Linked DNA regions of Canis lupus familiaris. The protein of the gene in region 1 interacts with the protein of each later gene in a biochemical or structural test. Links are inferred from orthologs where the notes say so. Each region holds a gene or a part of one and is shown on either strand. Other genes may lie near its edges.

The links.
Region 2: the proteins of XPO1 (region 1) and RANBP3 form a complex in vitro, tested with the Homo sapiens proteins (2 studies listed by BioGRID). The link is inferred for Canis lupus familiaris from reciprocal best matches to the Homo sapiens genes XPO1 and RANBP3.
Region 3: the proteins of XPO1 (region 1) and ADAR form a complex in vitro, tested with the Homo sapiens proteins (2 studies listed by BioGRID, with this or other methods). The link is inferred for Canis lupus familiaris from reciprocal best matches to the Homo sapiens genes XPO1 and ADAR.
Region 4: the proteins of XPO1 (region 1) and RANBP1 form a complex in vitro, tested with the Homo sapiens proteins (3 studies listed by BioGRID, with this or other methods). The link is inferred for Canis lupus familiaris from reciprocal best matches to the Homo sapiens genes XPO1 and RANBP1.

Annotation. Positions count from the first base shown.
Region 1 is NC_049231.1:62,834,548-62,839,747, reverse strand, and holds part of XPO1 (exportin-1), read left to right. Parts: intron 1-945; coding exon 946-1,140; intron 1,141-2,169; coding exon 2,170-2,338; intron 2,339-2,995; coding exon 2,996-3,130; intron 3,131-3,211; coding exon 3,212-3,371; intron 3,372-3,448; coding exon 3,449-3,545; intron 3,546-4,904; coding exon 4,905-5,051; 3' UTR 5,052-5,200. UniProt on the Homo sapiens protein: Mediates the nuclear export of cellular proteins (cargos) bearing a leucine-rich nuclear export signal (NES) and of RNAs.
Region 2 is NC_049241.1:54,560,096-54,565,295, reverse strand, and holds part of RANBP3 (ran-binding protein 3), read right to left. Parts: intron 5,027-5,200; coding exon 4,934-5,026; intron 3,742-4,933; coding exon 3,638-3,741; intron 2,488-3,637; coding exon 2,368-2,487; intron 460-2,367; coding exon 356-459; intron 1-355. UniProt on the Homo sapiens protein: Acts as a cofactor for XPO1/CRM1-mediated nuclear export, perhaps as export complex scaffolding protein. Bound to XPO1/CRM1, stabilizes the XPO1/CRM1-cargo interaction. In the absence of Ran-bound GTP prevents binding of XPO1/CRM1 to the nuclear pore complex.
Region 3 is NC_049228.1:42,768,122-42,773,157, reverse strand, and holds the end of ADAR (double-stranded RNA-specific adenosine deaminase), read right to left. Parts: intron 4,751-5,036; coding exon 4,568-4,750; intron 4,283-4,567; coding exon 4,170-4,282; intron 3,904-4,169; coding exon 3,776-3,903; intron 3,681-3,775; coding exon 3,443-3,680; 3' UTR 1,250-3,442; downstream 1-1,249. UniProt on the Homo sapiens protein: Catalyzes the hydrolytic deamination of adenosine to inosine in double-stranded RNA (dsRNA) referred to as A-to-I RNA editing.
Region 4 is NC_049247.1:29,377,661-29,383,514, forward strand, and holds the start of RANBP1 (ran-specific GTPase-activating protein), read right to left. Parts: upstream 3,823-5,854; 5' UTR 3,691-3,822; coding exon 3,676-3,690; intron 2,728-3,675; exon of another isoform or gene 2,709-2,727; intron 2,407-2,708; coding exon 2,270-2,406; intron 373-2,269; coding exon 215-372; intron 1-214. Other genes in the region: TRMT2A (tRNA (uracil-5-)-methyltransferase homolog A), read left to right, coding at 4,096-4,405, 4,572-5,178, 5,464-5,572. UniProt on the Homo sapiens protein: Plays a role in RAN-dependent nucleocytoplasmic transport. Alleviates the TNPO1-dependent inhibition of RAN GTPase activity and mediates the dissociation of RAN from proteins involved in transport into the nucleus.

The DNA.
Region 1 (5,200 bases):
AAATTAATGCAGTATTGATTAGGAGGGCTTTTCTTTTCTTTTAGGTAAGTTATCCCATATAACATATCCCTAAAATCCTGGCCCTGCCATAGTAACGTGTAGCCAGTAACTTCATTTTGGGCCTTAGTTTAACCTTAGCAATTAGATTTGAAATATCAATATATCTGTGGCTCTTCCCAGCCTATTATAATTCCTTGGTTTCTTTTGGTAAAAAGTCTTAATGTCCAAAACCAAATTAAAAAACGGGATTTTCTAGGGGTACTTGGTGGCTCAGGTAGTTGGTCCAGCAACTGCGTTTGGCTCAGGTCAGAATCCCAAGGTTTGTGATTGAGTCCCCACATTGGGCTCCCTGCTCAGTGGGCGGCCTGTTGCTCTCATTCTGTCAAATAAACAACCTTTAAATTTTTTTTTTAAAAATAAAACGTGGGGGATCCCTGGGTGGCGCAGCGGTTTGGCGCCTGCCTTTGGCCCAGGGCGCGATCCTGGAGACCCGGGATCGAATCCCACATCGGGCTCCCGGTGCATGGAGCCTGCTTCTCCCTCTGCCTGTGTCTCTGCCTCTCTCTCTCTCTCACTGTGTGCCTATCATTAAAAAAAAATAAAAATAAAAAAATAAAACGTGGGATTTTCCAGTTTTAAGCAGATATTCAACCTAAATTTCAATATAACATTGACCTAGCTGTTTATGATGGTAAGCAAGTGCATAGGATAAAACTTGGGGGATCTCTGGGTGGCGCAGCGGTTTGGCGCCTGCCTTTGGCCCAGGGCGCGATCCTGGAGACCCGGGATCGAGTCCCACATCGGGCTCCTGGTGCATGGAGCCTGCTTCTCCCTCTGCCTGTGTCTCTGCCTCTCTTTCTCTCTGTGTGACTATCATAAATAAATAAAAATTTAAAAAAAAAATAAATAAAAAACTTGGGTAAAGTTTTTTTTTTTTTTTAACAGGTAGCTGAAAATTTTGTTCCTCCTTTATTGGATGCAGTTCTCATTGATTATCAGAGAAATGTACCAGCTGCTAGAGAACCAGAAGTGCTTAGTACTATGGCTATTATTGTCAACAAGTTAGGAGGACATATAACAGCTGAAATACCTCAAATATTTGATGCTGTTTTTGAATGCACATTGAATATGATAAATAAGGTATGTGGTTTACATTTCAGTATGGGAAATTCTGCATTATGTATCCTTGTAAGACTTGAAAGCATAAATGATAGCTATGGGATTAACTAGTTTAAATATTTGAACATTTAGACCAGAGAAGTACTTTTAAAAATATTAACTATTGGGCAGCCCTGGAGGCCCAGTGGTTTAGCGCCACCTTCGGCCTGGGGTATGATCTGGAGACCCAGGATCGAGTCCCACGTCAGGCTCCCTGTGTGGAGACTGCTTCTCCCTCTGCCCCCCTTTCTCTCTCTTTTTCTCTCTCTGTCATGAATAAATAAATACAATCTTTAAAAAAATGTATTTACTATTAAAAAGATCTTTGGCCATTTGGATGGCTCAGTTGATTGAGCTTCTGCTCTTGGTCTCCGCTTGATCTTGATCTTGAATTCAGAATGGTGAGGTAACACACCAAGTCTAGTCTCCACACTCAGCAAGGAGTCTGTTGAAGATTCTCTCCCTTTGGTCCTCCCCCCAATTCACATGTACTCCCTCAAATCTTAAAACAATCTTAACTGCAAAATAGTAAATTTACATAAAAACTATATTCAGTAATGTATATGTGTATATATATACACACACACAAGAAATGGGGAAATGTATTAAGTAAGATAGGAAAATGTAGATCTAAGTCCACAAATTTACACAGTAGCTAAAAATTCTCGGATCTATATTTGTGATCTTGAAGTCAGAATCATAACATGGTAGTAATTTTCTTAAGAGTAACTTGAAAATATGTTCTTTATGGGTTTTGACTCCTTATAATGGGACCTTGTAGTCCTTATTTTTAGTAATTCATTTGTGTAATCAGTGGTAATTACATCTTCCATGAGAGGCAAATTGTGTTGATTTCAGGTTTGCTGATCAGGAAACCAATATCTTACATACACTGGATGGGGCCCATTAACAATTCCAAAGCTTTATACTAAATTAGGATTTACTTTTTCTTTTTTATTAAACATAATTAAGGCATTGAAACTTTATTTTGTTCTCATCTTTTGTTTATAGGACTTTGAAGAATATCCTGAACACAGAACAAACTTTTTCTTACTACTTCAGGCTGTCAATTCTCATTGTTTCCCAGCATTCCTGGCAATACCACCTGCACAATTTAAACTTGTTTTGGATTCCATTATTTGGGCTTTCAAACATACTATGAGGAATGTTGCAGATACAGGTAAATACACGTCCTTTTATTTAAATACCCTTTTTATTCATTCATCTTACAATCCACAGGCTCTTAAACTTAGATCTGAAGGAATTAGGTAGCACTGTTATGTGGGTTTTGTGTGAGTACATCTGTGGCATATGTAGGTCTAAGTAAATACTAAAAGCAGTTGAATCCTCTCTTCTATGGTTGAGTCCACAGGTGTAGGGTTGATTTACAGGGAGATGGGTGAAAATTCAAAGTAGAGCGACATTACTTTTCCGCATCCATACCAATGTTTCCTTTTCCCCATATGCTTTTCCTCTGTCCCGCTAAGGGTCAAAATAAGGAGAAAACCACATTTTCGAGAGAAATTTTTATTTTTTAATAGAAACTGGTTTATGTAATATACTTGTATTTTCGTAATGCTGTTTTTAGAGTTGATTTGGAGAGAATCTAAACTTTCAGATATAGTGGAAAGTTGGTAATGGTTATTACTGTAATCTATAAGCAGACATTGATGCTAGATGAACTCCCATTATTCAAGGTAATTTAGGCAAATAATTGTTAGTCACTAGTGGAAAGAGGGTTAAGAATGGCTTTTGAATCAGAAGAGTTGAATAGTGGAAATTCTGTGTGAATGTTAACCGGCTGTAATAACTTCATTAGTGTTTTTGTACATTTTAGGCTTACAGATACTTTTTACACTCTTACAAAATGTTGCACAAGAAGAAGCTGCAGCTCAGAGTTTCTATCAAACTTATTTTTGTGATATTCTTCAGCATATCTTTTCTGTTGTGACAGACACCTCACATACTGCTGGTAAGAATTTATAGCCATGAAAATCTTAAGTGTTCAAGTTGTTATTAACTGTGGAGTTAATGATGTTCTTCTTATCAACAGGTTTGACAATGCATGCGTCAATACTGGCATATATGTTTAATTTGGTTGAAGAAGGAAAAATAAGTACACCATTAAATCCTGGAAATCCAGTTAACAACCAAATGTTCATTCAGGAATATGTGGCAAATCTCCTTAAATCTGCATTCCCTCATCTACAAGAGTAAATACACTTTTTAATACACCTATATTTTTCAGTTAAAAAACAGTGATATTTAATCGTTGTGTTTTGTTTTGCAGTGCTCAAGTAAAGCTCTTTGTGACAGGGCTTTTCAGCTTAAATCAGGATATTCCTGCTTTCAAGGAACATCTTAGGGATTTCCTAGTACAAATAAAGGTACGTGCTTTGTACTTGGTATGTTTTAGTTGTTGGATTGTACAATGTACCGCTTTTTGTTAAAGCAAAATGAATGGGATTTTTGAGTGGTATTTAAGCTTACTAGTCCTAGACTGATACACAGTGAAAAACTAAGTCATCGCTGAGAACATGATGCGTTACAAATGTTTTTGGAAACTTGTTATTAATAGAATTCATTTTGGATGATCAAAATGTCTTGGAATAATGGTCATGTCATCCTATAGATGATTTTTAAATTGTGCATTATGGGGAAAGAAACACTGATTGCCCCTTTGGGGATTTCATACCCATTTTGTTAGTAATCCATTTTAGGGAATTAAGACAAATTAGCAGATAATCCACTTCTTTCTACTGCTGTTACACAATGCTTCATTTAAATTTATGGGAAGAAAAAAAAATAAATTTATGGGAAGAAGAAATTGTCTTGTATTACTTTCTTTTAAACAAATTTAAAAGTAATGTAACATCTGTAAGTTGATGGATTATCTTACTGGTGAAGGTTAAATAAGGATTGGTCGTACATGATAATGTTACTCAGATTTTTTTTCCCTCTAAGATAAATAGGTTTTTTAAAAATTGTAAATATATTAGCTATGTCATAAGTAGAGAATGCCAAAGAGAGCGAAAATTACTTGAAATTCCTATATAGGTCAGCTTGGGGTGGCTCAGCGGTGTAGCGCCGCCTTCGGCCCAGGGCCTGATCCTGGAGACCCGGGATCAAGTCCTACGTCCGGCTCCCTAAAGGGAGCCTGCTTCTCCCTCTGCCTGTGTCTCTGCCTCTCTCTCTCTCTCTCTTCGAATAAATAAATAAAATATTTAAAAAACAGCTATATAGTCACAATGTAGCTAAACTTTATCATTAGTTGTAGGAGAAACAACTTTTTAAATCTCTTGTCTTATGGAAGTATATTTTATATATGACATTGCACTATGCCTTTTTAATAAACTTTTTTTCCTCAGTTAACACCTTTGGTTTTAATTCAGCTACACAGAATTGTATCAGTATGCTATAATTTAGGGACACCTTGAACATCCAGCTCAGATCATGATCTCTGGGGCATGGTATCCTGGGATTAAACCCCCCTACCCTGCTCTGCACTCTGCAGGGAGCCTGCTTGTCCTTCCCTCTCCTCCTACCCCCCTGCATTTTGTTTGTAATACATATAATCTTTAAAAATACATACACTATAATATTAACCCAACCAATTGAAGGATAGGTTTTATCATTGTGTAGACAAAACAGGGAGGTGCTTGTCTATCTTCCTCCACCCCTCCCAGGAGGACATTTTCCAAAATTGAAGTTGGTTATATTAATACTTAACTATCTTGTTGTCACAGGAGTTTGCAGGTGAAGATACATCTGATCTGTTTTTGGAAGAAAGAGAAACAGCCCTTCGACAGGCTCAGGAAGAGAAACATAAACTTCAAATGTCTGTCCCTGGCATCCTTAATCCACATGAAATTCCAGAAGAAATGTGTGATTAAACTAAGAAGTCATGCTGGTTTTTTCTTTTTCTTTTTTTTTTTTCTTCCTTTTTTTGGTTGGGTTTTTCCCCCCTCTCTGCAACTCTTGTTAGCAGAAGAAAACAGCATCTGGATATTTGTCGACCAAAATGATGCCAATTTGTAAATTA
Region 2 (5,200 bases), on another chromosome or scaffold:
CAGGAGGCAGCCAAGCAGCCATTGGTCCACTGGGTTCTGCTCTGAGCATGAGATCCAGGTGACAGAGGTCACTCCAAGGGCCAAGGAGAACTTGGGTCCTGCCTTGTCTGTTGAAACACACCATCCTGGCCCCTTCACAGCTGTGCCCAGAATGGGAATAAGGGAGGGAGCCAGGGGATTGGGCGGGGGAGGAGATCCAGGATTCTGGTGAAATCTGCTTCCCCCACTCCCACCTCCATCCTGCCCTCCAGAAGGACCAGGTTCCTGGTCCAGGTGCTGCCTCCTCACCCTGGGCCCCAGGCTAGGGGATGACCTGGGCCACTCTGAGGCTGGCCACCCGGCCCAAGACACACACCTGGAGCTGATATACTGAAGGAAATAGTTGGTCGCAGTTGGCGTTTCTGAACTGGGATGTCCGGCATTCTCCATGTCAGCTACTTCAGTGTTCTCATTTGTTAACTGGGAAACAGAGAGGCGACACTTACTGCCCAGACAACGCCTGTTCGGGACCTCAACAGCTCAGCCTGTCTGCATACCCCAGGGCCTATGGCACAGCTCGTGTGTGTGTGTGCATGTGCACGTGCGTACACCGGGGGGGGGGCACGCGCTGTAATCAACTTTGCCATTTCTGCTTTTAATGGTTAAGATAGAAAAAGAGTTTGTAAGGCATCAGGGAACTTTTTCTACCTTGTTTAAAAAAATAAATCCCTCAATTGACATCTTGTTCCCCTTTTCACCAATGCTTGTAATGAGAGGCCACAGAATGCTTCCAAATCTGGCATTTTAAGGGGTTTATTATAAATATAATAAAAACATCGTTTCTTGAGGGCTTTTTTTTAATGCTTGCTAACTGCTGTGCCAGCTCTGTTGAATCTATCATCGAATGTGATACTCCCAGGAACCCTGAGAGGTATTATCAACCTCGACCTACTGAGTGAGAAAGCAGGGGTTCAGGGTGCCAAGAAATCGCCCCCATTGAGAAGCTGGCATGTAACTGTGATACTACAGATCACGTGAGCCCTGAGCCTCCGTAAGACAGGGCCTCAGCCCCAATTTCAAGGCAGCCATCCCCCTGGACTCTAGGAACAGACTTGACCTGGCGGTTTAGGCCAGGCCCCTGCCCCCTAGCATAGGTGGATCTCAAGGCCCTTCCTTCTCCGGCTTCCTCCTCCCTGGAGTGAGCAGCCTCCAAGGGACTCATTACTTTGGCTAAAGTCACGCAACAGCAATGCTTACTTTTCATCCCTAGGGATTTGTGTTTCTGTTGGACAGCGAACACCAAAGGAGAAGGCAGATGGCACAACCTGATGTTTTCTACGTGCTGGAGAGACTTTTTTATTCCTTTATTTCAGGATTTCTCCTTCTCAGCATCACTGACATTGGGGCTGGATCTTTCTCTGTGGGGAAGCCGCCCTGGACACCGTGGGGTATTGGGCAGCATCCCCTGCTCCCACCCACTGGATGGCAGTGGTACCTACACCCTAGCCGTGACAACCACAAACGTCCCCAGACACAGCCACTCATGTTGTCTCTCAGGCTTCTAAAGGAACTCCTGCCAGATGAGCTGCTGGAAACGGCACAGAGGGACACTCTATCCTGGTGGCTGGAAAGGTAGTGTTGCCTAATTCTGGCTTCTCAGAGTGACAGCACACAGGGTCCCGAGCCCAGAGCCCCTGCCAGATGCTCTCTACCCCTGACTCAAAGTCCCCAGACTAGACCAATAGGCCTTGGGGGCAGCCAGGAGGGGACAGATGCTATTGCTTAGTATGGGACAGAATAGTTATTTTTCTATCTGCCCTACCTTAAAAAAAATAAGGTAATGATTCTCAATTAGGGGTGACTTGGTCCCAAAGGGAATGCTCAGCCTCATGAGGGGACACTTTGGGTTGCCGCGTCAGGGGGTGGGGGCATACTCCTGGCACCCGGAGGGGGAGGGCCAGGGATGCTGCCTGGTACCCTAGGATACCCAGCCCTCCAACAGCTGACAATGAACCTTGTCTAAACGTTGCTTTGTGCCAAGACAGAGCAGCTCCCAAGTTAGGCAATGACAAGCTCTCCAGTGACGTCGAAAGCATCGGATGGTGCTGTCCCCTTTGCTACGAAAATGTTGGTTTCCAAGGAGAGGCACGCTCGGTTTCGTCCCATCCCCGGCGACTGGGAGAACAAGGGAGGCCTCCAGGGAGCACGCCGGGAGCTGAGCAGTGCAGCAGGGAGGCCATGCCAGCAGTCAGGGACAAGCCTGCGGCTATGCCACCTCCACCTCCCGCCCCCTGAAGGGAGAAGCGGAGGTCCTGTGGTTGAACTGGAGGAGGCAGAAGAGACCGACCCCGGAGTGCGAGCACCCATCCGGGCCTCTGATCCACACACCTTGACTCGGTCCCTCAGGTTCTGCCCGAACACAAACGCCTGCTGCGCAACTTGCTCTCTTTTCTCACAGTTCTCCTCCTCACAAGTATCGCTAGACTCATTTTTCTGGGGCTCTTTCTCCTAGTTTGAAACAAAAACAAGACAACAACTGAAAAGAAGTGACAGGTTAGCCCCAAGAAGCAAGGTGGGCCATCTCTCGCAGTTCCGTCTGCTCAAGGGGTCTCCTCTGGCTCAGGTCCCCGGGGGGCTGCTGCCGCCCGGGTGTGGCCTGTCCTTGACTCCCCGGGGACGCCGGAGGTGGGCGGGCCAGGCAGCTTCCCAGACTCCCTCCAGCTCACAGCCCTGCTGCGCTAGCCGCCCTAGCTATCCAAGTCTCCAAGCAGCAGCAGGTTGCAAAGATGGCTCCTAATTTTAATTCTGCTAATTGTGGTCTGAAGGAGCGGGGGTTGCTCAGGGATGTTTTAAAAATGAATTGTAGACGATCGATTTCACCATTTGCTCTCCAGCAACTATGGGGGGTGTGTGGGGGAGGTGGAGGGGCCAGAACTCAGGCAGCAGCTCAGCTGCCAAAACAGCCCAGTCGAAATAAACACACACATGCAATCTGGCTTTGTGAATGGAAGCCTTGGTGTGGTGCTGCAACTTGCATTTCAGATTCACCTCTGCCACCCGCAAATGCAGGCTCTTTGGTACATGCTCCTCATTTTTCAGTTGCCGGGCAATACCACTAGAAAACACATGCTCTTGGCCTATAGAAACCCAGAACCCCAGACTTTGCTGTGTCTGCCTATCAATCAATCAATCAATCAATCAATCAATCAATGTTCTGAGCTGATTTCTTCAGCTAGAATGGGCCCACCTATGCGAACCCCCGTGTTGTTCAGGTGTGGAAACAGGGAGGGGAGACAGCTTTCCATGTAAAAGGGCACACTATCTCATCAATGAAAGCCATTCCTGTGGCTCCAAGGACCCCCGCCCCCCCAGAGGCCAGGCCCAGAGGCCAGCTGGCCACTTGTACAGGGAGGTGCTGGGTCTGGCCTCTGGAACCCAGACAGAACTCTGGAACTGCGGACAGACCATCCTTGGCATTCTAGCAACTATGGACATCAGCTGCAGTTGCACATGCACACCACTGAGCAAATACAGAAAGCCTTAACACAGGCCTACCCAGGCACTGCTCTGAGCAGGTAACTTGTCTACACACTCAGTAAAGCTCCGAGAAGTTTCAGGTGCTCCCTGCCCAGCACAGAAACACCTCAAGTGCTCGCACCTCGTCAGAGGGACTTCTCCGTGCAGGGTTGTCAGGTGATGTTGCTGTCATGGCCCCCGTGCAGTCTGCTGGGATACTGACTCCGTTGGTGCCGCTGCTTGGGACTGCAGGGACAAGAAGATGGGGTGTGTGTGTGTGAAACCTCAAGTGCTCCCTTCCACCATTTAGACCAACAGTGTAATTTCTCCTCTTTAAAGAAAACGATCTAATGTCCCTACTGAAAATTACATTCTTACATTGAAAAACCCAACCTCAGAACTAAAACCTCACAGAGGTGAGAATATCTTATTGCTTACTCCACAAAGAACTGTATGAATTTTAGTGTACTCAGAAATGATACTGTGAAGATAAAAGAGAAAAGTAATATATATTGAAGGAATGATTATGAGTTTTATAAAACGTTTTACTCATAACATCTTTATTCTATGCACTTTTCCCTATAAATAGCTGAGATCACATGATGTGTGCAGCTTTAAATTTGGCTGATTGGTTAGCCTCGCTTATAAAAAGCTTTCCTGTTGAAACTCTTCAGAAATATTAACTATTTCCCCCATGTGGGATGTTGGATTGCTTCTGATGAATTTTTGAATTACAGGGAGAGGCCAAGAGAAAGACAAGAAAAGCTCATTAAGAAACTAAAAGGTCAACTGAACACCATGCCCTGTGTGGAGATCATGGAAATATGGGTTAAGATTTAGGTCTTATGGTGGAAAATCAGATGATTTGCACATAACTAAAATGACCCTTCAAATCTCTCAGACACACAGGGCCAAGTTTTGCCTACAAATATGCTGGGCTGAACCAGAGACACTTGAGAGGAGCCAGCTTTTGTGAAGCCAGTATGCGCAGAAAGCAGGACTTACCTAGTGGTCACCTTGGCCTGGTGCCACAGGGAGACGGTGGGACCATACCGTCTTCCCTGGGCTCACCAGGGATTTATTTATTTTTTTATTTTACTTTTTTTTAAAAAAAGATTTTATTTATTCATTCATAGAGAGATACAGAGAGAGGGGCAGAGACACAGGTAGAGGGAAGAGCAGGCTCCTCGCAGGGAGCCTGATGTGGGACTTGATCCCAGGACCAGGATCACGCTCTGAGCCAAAGGCAGATGATTAACCACTGAGCCACCCAGGCGTCCCTCACCACGAATTTACAGGATTGTTCCCACAGCTATTTCTGAGTGCATTCAGCAGATAGGGCCAAAGTCACCTGTGTCAAGAAACAGCTGTCCCAGGCCAACTTCAGGATCACTCTACACCCTGCTGAGTGAGCCTGGATGCCAGGGCAGATTCTTACCGGTCTGTGAGAGTGCCTTTGGCTGTGGGGCTTGTAACACTGCCGGGCGAAGCACACTCCGCTGTTGTTCCTTGGGCTTCTGGCTTGGTAGACCTGAGAAGAGAGATCTGCTTGCCTGGGCCTTCAGACCTCATGGGTAGAAACACACAGCCCTGTACTGGCTCTCAGGGGCTTTACAGAAATTGAGTGAGTACAGTAATGCCAAGGGGGGGGGGGGGGGGAACGGACCAAGGGACAGCTATCCTCAAGTACTGGGCTCAAGGATCA
Region 3 (5,036 bases), on another chromosome or scaffold:
AGCTGGAGAAATTGGACTTGTGAGGCATGAAAGTACGAGAACCTGAAGGTGAGCAGTCACTTTGATTTCTGGGATTTGTGCTTTACAAGGACTCTAGTCGCTGGGGAAGAAATGGCCACGTGGCTGGACCTGGGGCAGCAGAGCTGAGGCTGCTCCTGGGGACGCTCCTCTAGAAGGGCCTGGAGTCAGGATCCATGGGGTCTCCTTGCAGCTCATCTGTGCAGGGAGGTCAAGGTTGCAGGCTGCGTGGTCCCTAGGACCCTGGTCTGCCCTGGGTCTCGACCTGGAGGCACCATTCAGCTGTGGCCCCTGATGGAACACAGGTCAATGGGAACAGAGGGCAGACCTGTGAGCTGACCACCCCTGGCTGCCCTGTGCCCCAGCCCTGTCTCTTCCAGCCCCTCGGAGCTGGTGGCGGGGATAGGCTCCTTCCCTCCACACACACAGGTCTGGCGCTCAAGTTAGGTGTGAAGAAAGGAAATTATCTGTGTCTTCGAACCCCCGGGGGGTAGGGGGGTAGGGGGGTAGGGGATCGGGAGTCACTAAGAGGTCCCTGGTACATCCTGGCGCCGGAGGCATTCTCCTTTGCTGTCCTCAGAAACCATCCAGCCAACTCAGCACTGGTCTCGGCAGATCACGAATGACACCCATGCACAGCTGTGGCCCCTTACAAGCCCCCAAACACATCACTGGCCCTCCTGCCTCCACTGTCCCATCTGCAGTGGATGGGGAAGGAGGCTTCACCATGACTCTGTGTCCTCTAGGAGGACAGCGTGTTAAAAAGTCAGGGATGAGTGTGCTAGCCTCTGGGCTGTCACCGCGTGGAAAGGGGCACATTCCCTCTGACGCCCTGCGGGAATATGATCCGGTGCCTTCCCCAAGCTGAAGGCCATGGCAGGTCTCCTAAGACGGCAGCCTGGCCAGAGACTTGTTCCAAACATGCATGTTCCTACAGGCGGGATGGCTGCTGCCGGGAGTACTGTTTGGGGTTGGGCTGGAGAAAAACGCCCCAACAGAGTAGGGGTGATGCACATGACTTGAGATGTTGTGTCACAGGTGGTTTTCCCACCCAGGCTGGAATCCTGCATCCCACATCTCCGAGCACAAGGTGTTAACCTGAAGGCTCTGTGGGGGCGCTGGGTGTGGGGCCGGGGCAGTCAGGAAAGGACGCCCAGCCCCAGAAACCCCAGGATCATGGCCCCCTTGCCCCCACTCTCCCTTCCCGGGGAAGCCAAGACAGGAAACTTTCTAACAATTCAGATTTTTCTTTATTTATGAGGAATGTATATTGTTAGTCACGGTTATCAGGGGACACATCAAAGCGGAATCGTAAACCTGACTGCAGCCCCGGTAGCACCAAGTCTGTGCTTGGGCTCTTTCCAATCTGCTCTTGGAGTCACACCAGGACCCAAACCAACAGTCGCTCAACGAGAGTAAAGGAAATAGCTTCGAGCAGCGACAATTTTCACAAGTGATTATTCAGAGAATGCACAATAGCCACAGTTCAGACAAATCAACTACAAAGATCATTTTAAAAAAGGAAGAAGGGCGTCCTGGTTACTAAAAACAAAGATTTGACAAAAAGGTGAGCACTGTGGACAGGAGCTGTGCCCCGAGGGGCGCGGGGACACAGGCCGCACGCGGGATCGTCTCCAGCACACACATGAGCACAGGATGCTGTGCCCCCTTCCTACAGCAGAAACCAGATGCGTCTCATCTGACCTTGGGCTGAGTGGGGCTCTGCTGGAGATTCTAACACCCAAGATGGAGCGGAGGGTCTGGACATTCTGTGGGGTCAGCAGGCCAGACCCTCCAGTCTGAAGAGCCTGGGGGACGAGCCACGTTGGGCAAGACAGGCCTCATGTGCCCCCAGCAGGTACGCAGGATGGGGCCAGGCCCCTCCGCCCCATAAGTAGGCACCGTTTCCCTACCAGTTCCTTGAGACACTTGGCTGTTCCACAGACATCTTTAGTATACTTTAAAAAAACTTGAATGTTTTTTTTTTTTAATTTTGGTCAATTTTTGGTCAAAAGCACAGAGGAAATAGTAGCCACAAGAACAAAAGTGTGGGTGTATCTACCACTGAAGAGGAGGGCCAGACGGGGTGGCCTTGTCAGTAGTCTGTGGGGTGTAGGGGCGGAGGGAAAATCATGTGAGGGCACAGGCCCGGGTGCTGTCAGGCAGTGAGGGGGGTACCCCTGGAGGTGGGGTGTAGCTGATGCAGGATCGAGCCAGCCTCCAGAGACACTGTAGGCTCTGACCCTGGGAGTCACCACAAGCCTGAGGTATGGACGGGGAGGGGGAGGTGGGGTCCCAGCTCACAGGGTTTTAACTGCTGTTGAGCATCCATCCTACAAAGATTCCCTGATAGGCCAGGAGACCTCAGGCCATGGCTGGCCCTTCTGAAGCGAGCTGGCAAACAGGAGCACTTGATAAATGGAAAATTAGGTCTGACTTTAAATTCTGTGCAATTACAGATTATCTGTAGCAGTTAAGAATCAACATTTATGACATTTTTAAAAACTCCTAATTTACCTATGACTTGGTCAACTTTCTCAGGTGCAGTGTCATGAGGGTACTGGGTGGTACAGTGATCTGACCCAACATGATTGATCTGCCCTGATTCTAAGTCCTGATTATCTGAGCCAAGGACTTGCCCTGCAAGAACCCTTGCTGTGCACTGGGATCTGTGCCCTGCTGGCCTGACAAATCCATAGGAATGCTTCTGGAGGACAGCTGGGCTGGCGGTGTCGTGAGGCATGTCTGTGCTCCCTGGGGCGGACGGTGTCACCCCATGGGGCGTTTGCTACGGCAGGGGCCACCCCTAGGCCTTGCTGGCCCTCTCGGCAGCCCAGCCCTCCTCGCTGGCTAAAGTGCAAGACCCGAAGGTTACTGGACATCACCTGCAGACTCGGGACGTGCCCGCCCTGGGAATTAATGAACCGCAGTTTTACAACCCTGTCCTTGTGTATTTCACCGAATTCTGTAAGTTCACCTCTTATGATCTTGGAGGAAAAGGAGAAGCTTAGTGATCATGAGAGAATTGCAAAAGGGCAGAGGGGAGACGGAGGGGCCTGCAGAATCACCAGTGAAACCTCTGGCCCTGCAGAACTCAGCACAGATGGCGGATGGGGGCCTGACCTGGAGGGTGAGAGTTGGTGCAGCAAACACACGGCAGAGGACGTGGACACCAAAGTGGGGCTGAGCGGGAGGTGGGCCATAGGCCCTCGTGCTTGTGCGGCAGGAGGAGAAGACGGGCCTCCCTTGCCACAGAAAGGGCAGGGGGCTGGTGGTTCTCAGGGTCATCAACCTGCTCCCACCAAAAAATTAAAAAATAAAAAAAAAAGAAAAAAGGAAAAGACAAGGATCCCCTCCCCTCCCCGAGACTGAAGAGATGAGGAAGCTACGGCCCAGCTGTGTGGCCCCCCGGCCCCGGCCCCCCTCACACGGGGCAGAGGTAAAAGTTCTTCTCCTCCTGGGGCTTGCTGATCCAGTTCCCGTAACCCATGTCCTTGAGGCTCTTCTTGAAGTAGTTCTTGGCGAGCTCATAGTCTCGGGCGGCTTTCTTGGCCTCGCCATACGAGAGTCTGAGAAGATCCCTGCGGTACCGGAACGAGCACAGCTTCTTGAACAGGAGGAAAATGTTCTTCTTGGAGACACGTGACAGTTCGTTCCGTGGCCTGGGGGACGGAGGCGCTGGTGAGTCCCTGGGGTCCAGAGAAGGGGGGGGTTTGTGGGAGGCATGTGAGGGGGGGCATGGTGGATTGGGCCTCACCCGTCCACGGTGCCTCGGGTCCCATCCAGGATCTCGAGGTCGTAGCCGTCAGCCAGGCACCAGTTCACGCTCGTCTCCTTTGTCTTCCCGGACTGCCTCTTGGAGTCGTACACACTGACTCGGCCCACCTACGAGTCCGGGGGTGGGAGGGAGAAGATGGAGGCCTTCTGGGAAGTCCTGTCGCAGGGACTCAGGGCCCCTGGGGCAGAGGGGGCAGCTGGGGGTCTTTCTCCTGGTCTGGGATGCTGTTTGGTGAACCCTAACTGTATGCAAATATGCTGCAACCTAAGAAGCAAGCCCCTGGTGTCCGAGAGTACAGAGGACCAGCTCCCGGGAAACCCACGACATTCCTCCCCTGCCCACAGTGAAGGTCAAGGGAAAAGGGAGCGAGCACCTTGGGGTGGTTGACAATGAAGGGGGGCCGCAACCCATCCTCAAAGGCACTTCCGTCCCTCGTCACACGGCAGCAGATGGCACGAGTCAGATGTCCTTGGCTGAACAGGTAGCCTGTGAGGAAACGGAGGTGTGTGCCCCTGTGTTTGCGCCGGGTGTTGCTGAGAGGTGTATGGGGGGCAGAGAGGGGGCCGGGGAGTGCTGTTGAGATAGAGGTGGCACCCTCATTGGCAGGCCTCGTGGGTGGGGCTGCACAGGGCATGTGTCCACTCAAGCCACAGGCACAACACATCGGGCTCCAGGCTGGGGGCAGGGGGTGGGGGTTGGCGGTGGCAAGGAAGCCCAGACCCTGCGGCAGTCTCTCTGTCACTGGGCAGGCAGGCAGCGGTGGGCCCTTACCCAGAGTGACTGACTTGAGATACACGGGCTGCAGGAAGTGGGTTAGCAGCGCCCCCTGAAGGCCCAGCACATTCCAGCGAAGGATCTTGTCACTGCATGACATGGTGCGGAGCCTCTCCCCAAGCCGGATGCCGTCCCACGTGGGCACAATGTCACTGGACTCCACGGGAATCGTGCCTTCTCCTGTGGAGGGACTTGGTCAGAGCCACAGGGACGCTGGGGGTGCTGGGGCCAGACCACTCCCCAGTGCGGGGTTGATGGCCCTCATGCTGGGACCAAGGCTGCTCACTGAGCCACTGTTCACAGATTCCTCAGCATCTACTATGCACCAGACATTGGACTCGGTGCTGTGGCCCACAGCTAGCAAAACTGGAAGATCCCCATGCTCCTGGGATATATGTGGGGGCGAGGCAGCAGAAAGGGGCAGAGAAATGGTAAGCCAGCAAAGCCATACAGACATGAGAACTCT
Region 4 (5,854 bases), on another chromosome or scaffold:
ATGCCTTAAGTTTTTCTGTAGGTCTGCTCTGAGTTCAGAGAGTGTTGGAACACCTCATTTCCCACTTTAAGTCCTGAACACAATGCGAATACGTGCCCCATGTCACAGTGTGCCCCCAGGCTCCCGTGTGGCACCGAAGGCAGCCTGCCCGAAGACTTGAAGGCGTCCTTATGTGGGACTCAGAGTGAAAACTCTCCCCGAAAAGGTCACCTACTGTAGTGGTTGGCGCATATCTTCAGGGTCTTGTCCCTCCTCATAAGGAGACGAATGGTCCCTTTCTCCTTATGCTTCAGAAGCTTGACGTCACCAGTGCCTCGTTCCTTCCATTCTGGGAGATCGTTCTCTGAAGCGAATCGGAATAGCTTTGCCCGCCTTCAAGAAAAGCCATTAAGAGAGGGCTTAGATGTGCACAGAGAGGGGAATACACAGCCAAATGTTTGCTGGGAAAGAACACTTGTTTTCTGTGCATTGAACAAATGGCTGTTTCTAGCACCACCATAGACACCCTTTCCTTTCTTGGTACCTCTAGGACTGTTAGTTTAAAAACTAACAAAAGAGCAAGTCAACAATCAATTCCCAGGTTTTACTTGGAATAATCAAAGAGAAAAGAGATTTCCAACAGAAAGACCCAACTTCTCAGCAAAGACACCCCCCTCCCCAAGTACGCTAGGCTTGCCTGTGATCACACTGCAGGGCAGCCCCTGGTGTCCCATAGGGCCACAGGGGTAGCACTGAAACAGAGAGAGGTCGAGGACCCCTGTCGTCCACAGGGCCAGCCCTTCCCCCTGCTGTGAGATGCCCTCTTTCCCTGGCCCCCCAACACAGAGAGGGGGCTGTAGACCTCTACTCAGGCCACCAAGCTCTGGTCCAACACCCTGCCCTCCTGCCCAGAATAGTACCTCACATTGGGCCCAGCCAAAGCCCCGTCCCACCGGGCAGCAAAGCCCCCGTGGTGAGCCCAACAGTCCTGCCCTTAGGACTTCAGGCTCCATTTCCTTCCCCCTAGGACCCCAGCCTTGCTGGTCCATTTCCTGCACAACACCCTGCTCTCTTTCCCAAACTCAATTCTGTTAAGGGAAATAACTGCCCTCAAAAGGATGCCACCAGAGCTTTCACCTGACGCCCAAGGGCCCAGACGTAAAGGCCTGACCTGCTGGCCTCACCTCCCTCAGGAAGGGCCTATGTTCAGGACTGCCAGGAGCAGTTCTCAGTCCAGTGTGGGCAGGAGGGCCAGAGCGGGGGGTGAGTGTGTGTGTGACAGCACCAGCAGCAGTCCTCACCCCTGGGAGGGAACAGTCCCTGGCTGTGGCACCATTTCTGGGCAAAGCACACATGTGGAGATCCAGCGTCTTCTGGGACAGACCCACCACTCTCTTGAGATCAAAGGGATATATGTGACTCTCCTTTCCCAGGCCTTTCAGAGTAGTGGGAAGAGGCTGGTCTTCCCAATCTGCCTTCCTTAGAGGGAGGAGTCAGGAAAGCACTTGAACCCTCAACTGGCTTTTTGGATAGAATCTGAAAAGTGGGGGAGCTCCGTAAGCTTGGACAGGAAAAGCACTCCAGCCTATTTCCGTTAACTTGAAACAGAACCTAGCGTTCCGTGTGATGCTGAGCACAGGCAACAGGTCAGTCTCAGCAGCGCGCTGATTTTGTCACAGACATCTCAACAAATGGCTGGTGCCAGTGCTACTTAAAAATGACACCTGCCTTTGTAGCTTCTTACTGAAGGCGCCAAAAAACACATGTACAATGATTTTTTAGAAAATGATTTTGGTAAGTGTAACACCATCCCCTTTCATTTGTAATTTCAAGTGTCATTTTGTGCATAAAAACACTGATTTGGGAGTTCACAAACTTCAGGATGCCAAAGTCTGTAGCGCAAAAGAAGAAATGATAACAATGGCAGAGACTCCCTGTTCAACCAGATGAAAGGTGCAGTTGGAAACCTCTAAAGGCAGCAAGCCTGTAAGGTGGCAAGGACAGAGGACTGTGGCGATGCCCCTTTGTGGACAGAGCAGCAGGAACAGGACACCAGGGAGCACCTGTGCTCTCCACAGGACTGGCCACCAGAAGAAGGGGCACCAAGTGAAGAGTCGTCCAATAGCTTTTTGATTTCCACATAGGATTAGTTATTGCACAATCCCAACCAAGCCCTTTCCTCAGTCTCAGTCCAATTACAAGCCAGGCCAAGACCCTGATGGCCATAAAAACCATAAACTCAATCTTACACTAAAGATACCAAGGTCTGGAGCAACGTGAGCTTACTTACATCTTAAAAAGCTCTTCTTCATCTTCTTCCAGCGTTTTAATTTCTTGCTCAGGAAGAGAAACTATAGGTTCGAACTGGGGGTCGTGGTTGGACTCATCTGCATTCTCGGTGGAGGTGTCATGGTCCTCATGGGTGTCCTGTGGAGGGAGGTGCAGAGAAGTGACTCTGCTGGCTCCGGAGCCTGGCCCCCACCCAGAGCTCAGCTGTGCCCGCAGTGGGCAATCCCTCCTAGTGAATGGCCTCATCCCAGAGCAAGAGGTTAAGCCCACAGTCTTTCACACAAGGCTGGCACCCCCATTCAAGAGTGCAGGAAGATGCTGAACTTCCACGCCCTCCGCAGAGGCATCAGGCACGTGTGTGCAGTGTGGCTGGGGCCCCTCAAGGTGGGCGGCCTACTGGCCAGAGGCACTGCCTCATCACTTCCCACCTGTCTCCTCACCTGTAAAACCTGGATAAGGACAGCACTAGATGAAGATTAAAAGGCACAATGGTGGAAGAGAGCCTCATGGAGCCTGTCACCCTTTCACCAACGTTTACTGGTTGAAGGGAAAAAAAAAAACCAAAAAAAAACCCCGTGCTCTTGTTTAGCAGAAGGGGGTGAAAGTGGCTACCAACTCCTAGAGTTTACGTGAAATGCACGTCCTGCCGGCAGTTTTATCTTACATCCCAAAGTTGATGCATCGACAGAAATCATACAAATAGAAAACTACAGGCCACAGAAGAGCCCGTTTTAGGTTCAAGTCTCACAAAACACGTGGCTTGGCGATCTGCAGTCCGTAAGAACCCGGGGGGCTTTACTACCCGTCCCGGGCCGGAACAGCAAATACGAAAAGCTGCCTTCCGCGGTCGGCCAGCTCGCCCGGGCAGAGGCCCGCGGTCCCCGGAGCAGCCGCCGCCCCCGGGTCGCGCGGCCAGGCCGGTCCACCCGGCTGGAACCAGACCGCCGCCCCCGCGGCCTGCGGCCGTTCAGGGCGTGAGCACAGAATGAATGAAGTGCTGCGCAGGCGGCGGCGGGAGGGACGCTCGGTTCCGGTGGGAAGCCTGCAAGTGGGCCGAGCCGCGGAAGCCGGGCCCCCGCCTGGGTCTCAGGCGAGCAGCAGAGCGAGCGGAGACCACGGAGCCTGGGCGGCGGGCCGCCCCCCGCCCCGATGGAGCGCCCCGGCCTCGGCGGGGCCCGCCCCAAGGTCACGCGGGCGCCCGGCAGCCCCCGAGCCCGCGCCCCCAGGCCCCGCGGGCCCCAGGCCGCGCTCCCCGAAGCTCCGACCACGCGCCGCCGAGGCTCCGCAAGGCACGGAGCCCGCAAGCCGGCGGGGGTTGGCGGCGGCGGCGCGGGCCGCCCACGTGGCCGCCGGCAGGGGCCTCGGCCTCCCGGCCCCCACCCGGTCCCCGCCCGAGCCCGGCCGCACCTTGGCGGCCGCCATGGGGGCGCGGCGGCGGCGGCGGCGGCGGCTCGGCGGGCTCGGTCGTCGCTGGCTCCGCGGCCTCTCGGCGGCTGGTCGTAGCTCCTTCCCTCCGCGTCTGGCGCCGGCGCCTCCCGCCCTCCCGCTCTTCCCTCCGCCCCGCGACCCGAACCCCGACCCCTGACCTCGGCGGCGGGAAACGCGACGCGATTCAAAACCAGCGCAGCTTTATTGGCTCACACGGCGGACAGTCTCATTGTCCTGCCCGCCCCGCGCTTCCCGCCAAAACGCCCCCGGCGCATGCCCGGCCAGCCCGGCAGCCAGGGGACGTGCGCTCCCGGCGGCCCTCGCGCGCACTTCCGCCCCGCGGTGGCGCGCGCCCCTCGGGCTCGCTAAGGGCCAGGGGATCCGAGCTGGCGCGTGGCGATGACATCACCGGAAGTCGAGATGATAGAGACGCGCGGCCTCGGCGGCACGCGCTGGCTCACGGGAGAGCGGCCAACCAGGCGAGCGGCCGGCACGGGCCCCTGGCGGGCGGGCGGCGTACCCCACGTCGGGGACGCGAACCCGAGCGGCGAGGGTTCGAGTCCCGCCCCCGCCCTGGGCGGAGCCGGGAAGCGGCCTCGCGGCGTTGCGGCCGCCCTCGGAGCGCCTGCCTCCCTTCTGCCAGGCCCAGGGCCCGGAGGCGGAGGTGGCCCTCGCGGGGGCCCCGGGCGCGACGCGGATGGACCGGACGGTGAGTGACGAGCTCGGCGACGAGGTAAAGTGAAGGGAGATCGTGATGGGAGGCCGGGCGGGAAGCCGCTAGGAGACAACGTGGGGCGGGGGCAAGTTGGGAGCCGGGGGGAGGGGCGAGCCGGGGCGCCGGGTGCCTTAACGGGGGGCTCGTGGGCGGCGCCCAGGCCCTGGGGCCGGTCCTCACCCCGAGGCCCGTCTGCCCCTGCACAGCGCCCTGTGCCCGTGGACGGCTGCGGCCCGGACGGCGGCGGTGCCCGGGGCAGCCCTGCGGCCCCGGCCCCCCGGGAGGAAGCGCAGGAGCAGGAAGGGGCGCCGGGCGGCCGCGGGGGCCGCGCCTCAGCCCGGGCTCTACAGCTACATCAGGGACGACTTGTTCACCTCGGAGATCTTCAAGTTGGAGCTGCAGAACGTGCCCCGCCACGCCAGCTTCAGTGACGTCCGGCGCTTTCTGGGCCGCTTCGGCCTGCAGCCTCATAAGACCAAACTCTTTGGGCAGCCTCCCTGCGCCTTTGTGACCTTCCGCAGCGCCGCTGAGCGGGACAAGGCCTTGCGTGTGCTGCACGGTGCCCTCTGGAAGGGCCGCCCACTCAGCGTGCGCCCCGCCAGGCCCAAGGCGGATCCCATGGCCAGGAAGAGGCGGCGCGAGGATGAGGGTGAGCCCACAGCCACCTGCATCGCAGATGTAGTGACCCCTCTTTGGACCGTGCCCTATGCTGAGCAGCTCGAGCGGAAGCGGCTGGAGTGCGAGCAGGTGCTACAGAAGCTTGCCAAGTGAGTGTGGGTGCAGATCACCCGGTGGCCCCGAAGCTCTGCTCGGCTGCATGCTCGTCCAGCCCCCACCGTGCGCCGTGCAGACGTCCTCACGGCTGCACAGTCTCGTGGGCAGTAAGCCAGGAAGCCCCGTGTATAATCAGGGGGGCTGGTGAGGTCCCGAAGGAGGAGCCCAGGCACCTGGGCATTTGGAGAATGGCTGGGGGTAGTGGTGGGGGCTGGGGGTAGTGGTGGGGGCGGGGGGCAGCGGGCTGAGTCCAACCTTGGCCTCACCTCCTCCTGCAGGGAAATTGGGAGCACCAACCGCGCCCTGCTGCCCTGGCTGCTCTCACAGAGGCACAAGCACAACAAGGCCTGCTGCCCACTGGAGGGGGTTAGGCCATCACCCCAGCAGGTCAGGCCCGGCTGCTGCAACCAGAAATCCACCTCGTGTTCTAAGAGGAGCTCTTCTCTCTTACCTCTATCATAGCTTTCCCTGTTTTCTGTCTCTTTCTGGTGTTCGTCACGTGACTGTTACTTGTTGTCAGCCCCATCCCCTGGACCGCCAGGCCCCGTGGGGAAACTGGTGCCTCTCGCTCACCACCATCTCTCACTTGATGAGCTCTTTTGGCCGCTCACAAGTGCTGGACGGCCAGAGTAAGGTCAGGCGTGTCTCTCTGCCTCCCTCCACCCTTCC